Linked DNA regions of Bombyx mori. The protein of the gene in region 1 purifies or fractionates together with the protein of each later gene. This does not show direct contact. Links are inferred from orthologs where the notes say so. Each region holds a gene or a part of one and is shown on either strand. Other genes may lie near its edges.

Evidence for each region.
Region 2: the proteins of Ago1 (region 1) and protein Gawky purify together in Drosophila melanogaster (affinity purification with western blotting; 17 studies listed by BioGRID, with this or other methods). This does not show direct contact. The link is inferred for Bombyx mori from reciprocal best matches to the Drosophila melanogaster genes AGO1 and gw.
Region 3: the proteins of Ago1 (region 1) and endoribonuclease Dcr-1 purify together in Drosophila melanogaster (affinity purification with western blotting; 5 studies listed by BioGRID, with this or other methods). This does not show direct contact. The link is inferred for Bombyx mori from reciprocal best matches to the Drosophila melanogaster genes AGO1 and Dcr-1.

Annotation. Positions count from the first base shown.
Region 1 is NC_085111.1:12,337,796-12,341,455, forward strand, and holds the end of Ago1 (argonaute 1), read right to left. Parts: intron 2,701-3,660; coding exon 2,552-2,700; intron 1,992-2,551; coding exon 1,814-1,991; intron 1,207-1,813; coding exon 1,015-1,206; intron 673-1,014; coding exon 364-672; downstream 1-363.
Region 2 is NC_085123.1:4,236,978-4,240,637, forward strand, and holds part of protein Gawky, read left to right. Parts: intron 1-2,870; coding exon 2,871-3,043; intron 3,044-3,126; coding exon 3,127-3,660. UniProt on the Drosophila melanogaster protein: Required for gene silencing mediated by micro-RNAs (miRNAs). Silences both polyadenylated and deadenylated mRNAs. Required for miRNA-mediated translational repression and mRNA decay. Not required for miRNA target recognition.
Region 3 is NC_085117.1:4,323,030-4,326,689, forward strand, and holds part of endoribonuclease Dcr-1, read left to right. Parts: intron 1-434; coding exon 435-555; intron 556-1,650; coding exon 1,651-2,114; intron 2,115-3,494; coding exon 3,495-3,651; intron 3,652-3,660. UniProt on the Drosophila melanogaster protein: Endoribonuclease which functions in microRNA- (miRNA) gene silencing and, independently of its ribonuclease III activity, also acts in the short interfering RNA- (siRNA) gene silencing pathway.

The DNA.
Region 1 (3,660 bases):
CTAATTTAAAGTTGAAATACCTGAAAAAAAAATTATTATTACTACTATTATACTATTTTAACGAATCTAGCTGTGGGATTGATATGATTTTAATAGACCTAGAAATATTTTTTTTTTTTGCGCATCGATAGCGGTTATTGCCTATCGTTTATGTACAAAGCAGTTATTGTCGCTTAGTCACGTTTGCCTGTCAAGCGTCGAATTATGTTTGAGTTGGCGGGGCGCGCGCGGACCCGTCGGCTTTAGGCGAAGTACATGACCTTCTTGACGTTCGAGAACTGTTTCTCCGCGATACAATCGACGGCGGAACGTTGGGAGTGAACGTTTGTGTTTCGTTAGATATGTCTCTATGAGTCGTCTGCGTTAGGCGAAGTACATGACCTTCTTGGTGACGGCGTGCACGGTGATGGCGCGCGCCATGGCGCCGGGCGTGCGGTCCTCGCTGCAGGCGGACTGGTGGCTGCCCTCGCCCGAGTCGTGCTCCTTCTCGACGAGGTGGTAGCGCGCGCGGAAGGCGACCAGGTGCGCGTAGTAGGCCGGCGCCGGGATGGACACGGAGCGCGTGCAGCGCACGTACGTGTGGCACAGCTGGTACGTGAGGCACTGCAGCTCGTCCGAACCGAAGTGGTTGTCGTCCCACAGCACGTGGTAGTGCGACGGCCGCGACGTACCCTGTCGGCGACACAACAACATCACTATGCCATCTAGTTACTTAGTATCAGTCAATTCAATACGCGCGCATTGCTGTTTAATCCTCAAACACAGCCCACCGAGTTTCTCGCCGGATCTTCTCAGTGGGTCGCGTTTCCAATCCGTTGGTAGATTCTGCGAAGCGCGGCTCTTACAACTATAAGTATAGTTACAACGGCTGTCCCAACCTTCAAACCGAAACGTATTACTGCTTCACGGTAGAAATAGGCAGGGTGGTGATACCCACCCGCGCGGACTCAGAAGAGGTCCTAGCATCAGTATACCAGATTAGAGAACGGCCGATTGAATCGTATTGGCACGTACCTGGATGCCCTGGTGACTGCACAGGTAGAAATCGAATTCGGTGGGATGCGTGATGCCGAGGTCGACCGTGGTCCCGGCCGGGATGTTCCCGGACTTGCCGGACTGCTCCTTCTTGTCGGCGCAGAACAGCCGCGTGTGATGTCGCTTCTGTACCACGATGAAAGTGATGCCCGGCTTGTACTCCGCTTCCAGCTGTAACCAATATGATATTATACGTGACTACTATTGAAACTATTCAGTAGCATAAAGTACGTTGTTACATTCTTTTGTACAGGTTACAATTATCCCGAATGTTATTATTTAGGTCATTGACCTTAATTAGCCACAGAGTCACGAGATCCGACTTCGATTGAATTGGTCGTATCTTATATGGTTTCCCGCGTGTATGACAATAATAACAAGATAAAACTCTTAGCTTTATCCTAATCTGGAAGATATAATTATAGGCGATTACTTTAAATAAACGATTCATAATAAAGAAACATCTTTATAGTTAAGCAATAATTAAAATTTGTCTCAAACACCAGGTACAAAAGTAACTTAGGCACTATCCAGATGACTATTACGAACAGAGTATTACGTATGAAATTATATTTACTAAACGGTTTGTTTTATGTAACCTCTGCATTAAAGTACATCAATTAATGTCTTGTTCTGAGGTAGCACCCAGCCTTCAAAACTTGTTTGGTAATACTGCACTTTTCACGACATAAATAAAATAACATATAAGTGATAATGATTGGGTTAAAATAATGAATAAACGTAAAGTCAATAAAATGATTAATAAAATAATAATGACCTTGATACAAGCCTCCCTCACAGCAGTCAGCTCATGCTGTAAGACGTGCAGGAACTGGCCTTCGGAGATGCCGTCGCGATACATGATGATCCGGTGGGGTTTGAATCCGCCGGTGCTCTTGTAAAACATGATGAGCAGCTCCTGGACCATGCTGCTCATTTCGTGAACTATCTCTTGCCTGTAAAAGGATTTTATTGAATATAATTTTTCGCGTAGATGGTCAAAGACCTCACGTATGACCTCACAGCTCGCTTTGTTCGTAAGCGATTCCCAGGGCTCAATTTAAAAACCTTCATTTAGGTTTTATTGCAGTGTGAAACTAGTAATGAAGAAAATCTGTATGGCTTGTTTTGCACCAATATAATTGGTAGGACGGTGGTACCTCCCGATTCGAACTGGAAAACACGCTCCACTAATCTACTTCTAAAGTACTAAATTTATTTTACGTTTTATAAATTTCTGAATAGACCTTATATGATGTATCTTTAAGGAAACTTGCTCTTGCGAATTAAGCAAAAAATTACTAATTAAACTATTTAACATTCTTAAACACTAAGTAAACGTTTTTTTCAGTTCAACAAATTCAAATCTAACAACAACAAAAGTGACATCCCAGATTTGTCCCTATTCTAACTCTAGTCTCTATTCCCGCCAATCTACTGTAGTTGGAACAACTCTACCGGCGAATAGGTAGGGAAATAATAATATACGACTACGTAATATGGAAGGGCTGGTTACCGGTGCTGCTGTACCCTGACGGTGGCGGCGTACCGCGACGGATGCGCGTCCATGGAGCCGACGACGGCCGCGATGGAAGGCTTCTTGTTGTCACCGGCGGGCGGGTGCGTCACGTCCACGCCCAGGAAGATCACGGGCTCGTTGAACACCTGCGCGACACAAACGACAGAATTAGACTGTTAAAAAGAACTAGTCCCCCCCCCCCCAATAGTCGAAATTCGACTATAATTAATAGAAATTATAAGTTTGAACATTATTAAGATTCTATTGTCAAGGACTATTAAAATTCTATAGTCACCGATTTCGCTAAGACTACACTTTATTTAGACAAATCTTAATAATGACAAACAATATTTATTCTATACTCAATTTGGCCACATACTATAAGCAATAAGAAAAGTTTGACAAAAAACAAAGAGTATGCATGCGTGTGCGTGTCAAATACACGGTAGTGCGCATAATGTTTTTTTATCGATTTAATAAATAAAAATGCATAATTAACAAAAATATTAACATTCTACACTCCTTCTCTATATTCTCTATAGGTGTGGGAAATTTCATACTCTTCCGTCTGCGCAATTTTCGTAAAGAGGGGTACAAAGTTTTTGCTTCACGTATTAATATATAGATAAACTATTACGGACCACTTCTATCTATCTCGCTCTAATAATGTTCTTCATGACGCATGTGATGAATGACATTATGACATATCCTTCAAACGATTTAAGAGGTAGCGTTAGGTTGCTGTCGATGCTGATGTCCATGAGCGACGGCTGCCGTACATCAGGGTAACAACATACACTAATTTGTTGGTTGCAACCGAACGCCACTAGATGTCGTTCTACACTTCCACATGCGTTCTAATAACAACTGTAGAAAAGTTTCACGGGTTGAACGAAGATCATAAGCCTTAGAAGTTGGATCGATGTAAATTAAAAATTGATCAACAATAATTGCCCTGATGTGTGTGTGAATGAATAAAAAATTTGGAATTGAAAATTTCAGCAATAGGTCAACAGCCTAATCGGCACGATCAATGTTGCATTCGATCAGCATAGAGGGTCGGCTGTTACACCAACGTATATTTTTATCGACTGTTACACCAACGT
Region 2 (3,660 bases), on another chromosome or scaffold:
CAGGAATTAAAAAAAACTATTTAGAGTCTTATACATTAACAAACTTAATAATGTTTATTTGAATTATATAAGTCTATAACACTAACTTATTATTAAAATTAAATATTTTAAAGTAAATGTGATTATTTAATCTTTAGATGACTTAAGTTATAAGGAACACAATAATAGTATGAGTTAAGTGAAAAAGATCAACAATTAAGATATATATTATAATAATATAAGTCATAAATATAAATAACAACTCAATGTTTAATTAAAATTCTACTTCTTCATCGAGTTCTAAAATATCTGGATCAGTATTTCGTAAAGTTTCCAACGTGGGAAGACTTACGTAAAATTCATGGAAAATATCCGGTATTAAAGGGAGCAGCGAAATTAAATCATTTTTTTTCTCGATGGATATGGGTAATGGCTGTATAGATATTATAGGAATATGATCAGGAATACTGGACCCTCTTCTTTTATAGTTAAAGGTAGAAAAAGGCGAATCTATATTCAGGGTGTCTTTATAAGTGAGAATGCCAAATTCTTGCTCATAGCGTAGCCATCTTTTTTCCAGCCATTTAAACTGCCGCCCATCGGTATCTTTATTTCTTAAAACTAAAGCACTTTTGAGGAGGGATGAAAAGTCATAAAAGTCTGTATTTTTCATTTCAACAACCTTAAACTTTTTGCTGCTAGACCGGATCAACTGTATCCAATCATGTGGATGAAATACCTGTAATTCCGTTTTCTTCTTTTTTTTTTCTATGATGCCATGATCGGTATCTTCTTCTAAATGGCTATGGCCAGGTATCATAAATTTGTGGTCAATTGTTTTGATAGCTCGATGTTTTTGCAATACCCAAGTAAACATACAACTGACATGGGAATTCCTATTTTGCCCACCGCATGTATCCGAGTAAAAAATTATATGTTTCGTATTATCAGATACGGATGTTTCTAAGTGCTTGTAAATACAAGAAGCGATTTGGTTAGCTCCCCGAGCTGCTACCGCCTCGTGCCACATATAGCAAACAGCTTTACCAGTTTTGTTGTCGTGGACAGTTAAATTGAACGTTCATAATTGCCGTTTATAAAAGGCTACAGAAGAACTTAGAGCTGGTGTTGGCAAACACTGCTGTAAATCAAATGTGTACACCTGTAACGTGTCATCATTCTTGCACATTAGCGTGTCAGCTCGTTTCATTTCATAGGCTTGATCAGCTAGCGTTTTGTGGTTATCATGTTGAAGTATGAGATCTATTTTAACAGATTCCTCTTGACATAACTGTATCTGCATCTTAAACTTGTCACAAGTGTAACAAGTATCGACACGCGGTTTTTTAAATGAAAGTCCTAATTTGTGAAATTCCTGACTATAGATTTTGATTGAAGGTGGATTATTCCGATCTTGACAAAATAACTCAAACATCTTTTGCATTGTTAAGTGAGATGGCAAATACTTCTTTGATGTAGACTTTCTCGTATAGTGACTTTCGTATGATGGAAATGACATGATATGTGTCTTAATTTCTAGGCGTTTTTCGTTTGATATCTTATGCTTAGGAATTGTTTTCCCTCGCATGTCATCAGTTTGAGTACCCCCTATGGATGATCTCCTTTTCATAGCAACTGTCTTTATAAAATTGTCACTTTCATCTAACGTTTTCATTAAACATCCTCGGCAGACAGGTTCACGTTTACCATGCACAGTAAAAAAGTATTTATATGTCTTCATTCTAAGCTTTTGCTTTTCAGGTTCAATAGCTCGTATTCTTTGCGTAGATTTATCTTTAATTTCCATTAAAGACGCCATGTATGCAGATCTTTTTGCATATGACCCCATTTGCCAATATTCTGTAAATATGGCATGCCTATCAGTTAGTGGTATACGTTCTTTACATTTCATTCTGCAAACAGGTAGCTCTTTCATAGTGCGATCTGATATACATTTTCCTTTTAATGTTTTGTATGCCTGTCCTAAGTTACGTTTTAATTTTTTTTCTCTTTTTATAGTACGTATACTCTTTTTTGGAGACACATTAAGATTAATTGAAATTTCATCACAAGTACTTGAACTTGATGTGGTTGAAAGTCTCGGTAATTCATAACATGGATCTCGTACAAAATCATCACTAGAGAAGTCAAGTACAGGATGGTATGTTAAACTACTGACTTGACCTGATGATGTCGACGGTATAGGATTGTCTGCCACTAGGTTCTCTGAGTTCAAAATCGACTGTTGATTTACATTTTCTAAAAAAGGACAAGACAATCATCTATTTATAATGATATAATATTGATATAATTACGTAATTTGCAAATCATAATTTTGAAGATATGTGAAAATATACCTTCATTGCTTTCCAGATGAGTGGATAACGCCATTTCAACTAATTTCTTGCATCTTTGAATATTCATCTTAAATAATTAAAATATTTAAGCACTCACACACAACTAACTAACACAACTAACCAACAAACTGTGCACAATCGACAACATTAGTAAATTAAAACCACTTACCGAAGTATTGTTTACGTTATAAATATTTTTAAGTAACCACTTTCTCTAAAGAAATGTTACATTTTGATGTTCTTTATAACATAAGTCAGACTTCTTACGTTAATAACTTTGTACTTATGGTGTTCCTTAGAACATAAGTCCAGTTATGTTTTTTAGTTCGTTTGATTATATTAGGATTTCTTAAGGTTGATACAGAACGCCGCTTGAATACGCCATGAAATACTTGAGTTTGATTTATGTGCTTTAGTCAGATTGTGTGTTGAGCAAAATGTAAACCGATGATGTAATACAAAATAAACTGAAAATTTTGACTTATGTGCTTTAGTCTGCCGACCCTAGAATTAACATATGTTATCTTTGCACAGGTACAAATAATACAACTAATGGAAATAATGGAATTAATAATGCTAATGGGGGTGTGAATGGTTCAGCTGCTGGCAATGGGACCAATGGTAACAACAACAGCACTTCATCAGCCAAAATTGAACAGTTAAATTCAATGAGAGAGGCATTATTTAGTCAAGACGGTTGGGGAGGTGTAAGTATAGAATACAATAAAATAAAAATCACAAATGTCCATTATAAGTATAATAATATAATTCATTTTTTCTGTTTTAATAGCAACATGTTAATCAAGACACTAATTGGGATGTCCCCGGTTCACCTGAACCCGGTGCAAAAGTTGAACCGACAGCAGCAGGAGGACCTCCTGCATGGAAACCCAATGTTAATAATGGTGCTTTCCTTGGAACTGATCTGTGGGAAGCTAATTTGAGAAATGGTGGACAACCACCTCCACAACCCGCTTCTAAGACACCTTGGGGTCATACTCCGACGACTAATATTGGTGGCACCTGGGGAGAAGATGATGATGTTTCTGATTCTGCTAATGTGTGGACTGGGCCTCCACCACCACAACAGTGGCCAGCTGGTCCACCACAACATTCTCAGCAATGGGGCATGCCAAAGAAAGATGATTGGAATGCTTGGGGTGAACCTCATAGAGGAGCAGATCCAAGATTGGATCCACACAGAGGCTCCGACCCTCGGCAGCAGCCCGTGGATCCTCGTCATGATCTGCGTGGTGGTATTTCGGGTAGACTCAACACTGATATGTGGAGCCAGCATCAACATACAGGACCGAGCAAGATGATG
Region 3 (3,660 bases), on another chromosome or scaffold:
TCTATACTTGTATGAAATAATATCAATATTTCACATCTGACAGCCTTCTGGCTTATTTTATTATGTACCAGATAGATTAACGAATGTTTTTAGTGTTTTCCTTACCACTTGCACAAAGAACACTGAAAATTTTCCCCTTTCAGAAAGTAGGTTTTAATTATTAATGCATTTACCCTAGCTTTTGGGAAATAAAAGTTGTATCGTTACATTTAGCTGTACTGACATGATGGAGCGTAAATAATCCTAATAAGACGTTTTAAAAATATGTTTTTTTTTTTAAATTAGTATCGGTTTTTTCCCCTCCCATCATCAAAGGTGTCATTAGTATTATCGTCTGTCTTCGTTTTCGGAAGCGATCTCCGAACACCCAGTATAATAGTGAAAGCTCAGTAACCGTGAATAAGCTCCATTTGCAAGACAAGCTCGCTGTCCAGGTACCGCTCGTACGTGCTGTGCCGCAGCCGCGCCCGCGCCGCCCGCTCCGCCGCGCTCGCCCTGCTGCGGACCGGGGGCCCGCTGCTCGACACGCTGCCCATCTACAGGGAACTCGATCAGGTATATCGCTCGTAATACTAATTTATAAATCAATCGTTCCGATAATTTATGGCGTATATTATAGTATAAAGTATGTCTATTATTCCTTATACTAATCTAAGTTGAACTATTTAATATTGAAATTATTTAACTTGAGGAAAGCTTAGTAAGTCTGATTATTTTTTTATTGATACCCACGTCATTAAAAAAAAAGCCTTTGACAAACAGATGAGAAAATTTCACTGTATTGCTTTATCTTCATCAGCTTATTACATTACACAATATAAATTATATGCTCTCAATGATATTACTGCCAATTTAGGTTTTGGGATGCAACCTTTCTTTGTTGAAATTATTTTGCGAGAGAAAGGGATCGACATATAAGTCTTATTCATTCAGTAAAATCTGACGATTTTGGTATATACATATTATATATTCAATTGAGCTTTGTATAAGCAATACGGGTTGTATTTGTATCAGATGTGATGCACGGCGCAATGCAATACAAACTCGACTGACGGGATGAACGACCTCATAGGATTCGCTTTTCATTGCGCGTTAACTAACCGCTATAGTCTCCCTGAACTGTATATGTCAAGGGCGCACGAACTATTTAAAGGCGAAAGGCTATTTAATTTAAGCGACATTTTTGCAACATTACAGAAGGGCCATTTAAAGATTAAAAATTAACAACTTAAATTTTATTTGCATAAAATGAAAAGGATATATTAATAGTTTTTTTTTTTAAGAATTGGCTCCAACGCCTTAGGCATTGATTTTGCTAATGTCACAGTATATACAAAAATGACAGGTGCTTAGAAGAAAAGAAAATTTAATTACAAATAAATATGATCAGTTTTTCCATACGCGAATCTCTGGTTTTAAGAACAGCACAAACAAATATGTTAGATTAACGAATTTAAAGATATATAAATAGTTAGGAATTACATACATTCTTAGTACCGCTGCCGGATGTGTGAGAGAAAGGGAAGACAGACAGACTGGCGGCGTAACGCGTTAGGTAACGAACCGCGGATTACCCTCTTATAAGAAGTTATCACTTCAATCGATAGCGTTTTGAACTATTCTCCTGATACAGTGATGTATATTTTACAGATCATAACGCGGAAATGCGGATGCGGTGTACAGAATGAACCGACACAACAACAGGAGGATGAGGCCGACACATTCACCGGACTTATAAAGCCCTACGCGCCGAATGATAATAAAAAACATGTATTGAGAATGGAACCATCGATCGACCATATGAAGGATAGCAAGAAAGAAACTAAATTAAGTGAAAACTATGTAACCGTGTCAGACGTTAGTGACGTTAATGAATTAAATGATAAAAGGAATGTAAAAGAAAAAGATGATAAAAAGATTGAATGGACTAAAACAGAGGACGTCGATGTTATCTCAAATAAGTCCGAAAGTGATTTGTGTCAGACTTGTAATGACAGTGATCCTTGTCCGAGTGAAGTGTCCAAAGTGTACAGTGATCTTAAGTACGATGTCAAGTGTGAGAACGAGACGGGTGGCAGTGTGGATCTTAGTTCGGCCATAGCTTTGATTAACAGGCAAGTTAATTTTGTTTTAATAGCGTCACGCGCTGGGGTTCGCGATAAATAACAATTCTACCGAAGCACAAATTAAAACTGTATAAAACACTTAACACCCACTTTAAAATTCTCAATGTATTTCATCCGCTTCGCTTCAGGTGATCCGTTCGCTGTTTCGATTCGATTAGATCCGATTACTGACTGAATTCGTGTCATCTCTGCAACGCTTTTATAGTCGATACGAAATCCCTAGGTTTGTCGACAACGTTCTGGGCAAGTCGAGAAGCTTCAGTGTGTGTTTCCTCTATCTGACAATAGATGGCGTTGTACCTCTCGAGCATACCAGATTTCACTGGTTCCTTTGATATTCGTTTCTGCTATTCGACGATAGATGGCTTTGCTTTCACTGGGGTTACAATAGTTACAGATTATAAACTAAAGGGATGGTATTAACTGTTTATCCGAGTCTATAGATACCACAACGTCAATTCTATGACCTGTCTCGAGATGTTAGGTCGAATTTCCGCAATTCTCCACTATTTAATGGATATTATTATACATGTAAACCTTCCTCTTCAATCTCTCTATCATTAAAAAAAACTGCATCAAAATCCGTTGCGTAGTTATAGGTTCATGATCCATGATGCCGTCCATCTGATGGTGAGTGGTTACCGTCGCTCATGGACGTCGCCAATGCCAGGGTCATGGCGAAGTCGAAGTTAATCTCACGACATAATAATATGATATCGTTTTCTACTTGCTAGATATCTTACGCACACTGTAACACATTACACAGTGTGCTTAGTGCGAAATTTTTAACCTTCTCGATAGCGTAAAAGTTAACTCTTAATTTGTATGAAGTTGGAACGTTTGCCTACGTTTGCCGCTAGGGGCGCTGTTCCAACTGCATACTTTGAGTTCACTTTTACGCGGTCGAGAACGTTAAAAAACTCGCTCTTAGCACAGTGCACAGTGATCTTCACTGTTCGCTTGGAATTTGTATAGCTTTTCTCGCTTTGCACTCTTCAACTCCTGCGTTGTCGCGCTCACTTGTGTGTCACATATGTATGCCCAACGCTACGTCCAATGCTATGTCCAACGCTACGTCCAATGCTATGCCCAACGCTACGGTCCGGAGCGTTGGCAAACTTTCGTGCTGTATGTCTCTATGTCTAAGTAATGTGTCAATCGTTCTCTGAACGTTCGTATGTTCATGAACTAGATGGCGTTACTTGTTCATGTCTAGTAGCGCTATTGGCCAAGAGATGGCTCTGGCTGTCATAAGGTATTAATACATAATTTATCACATTAGTATTATTGGAAAGACTATTATTATCATTTTAGTTCAAATTCATGTATTGGGGAAAAAATAATTAAAGTATGAATTTTTGTTATCAGGTACTGTGGAAAGCTCCCCTCCGACACGTTTACTAGGTTGGCCCCTCAGTGCTGGACGGACAAGGTTCGACTCCCTGGTCGGGACGGTGTCGAACGGGACGCATACATCTGCACGTTGAGGCTGCCACTGAACTGTCCTGTTAAATATAATATTGTCGTAAGTATA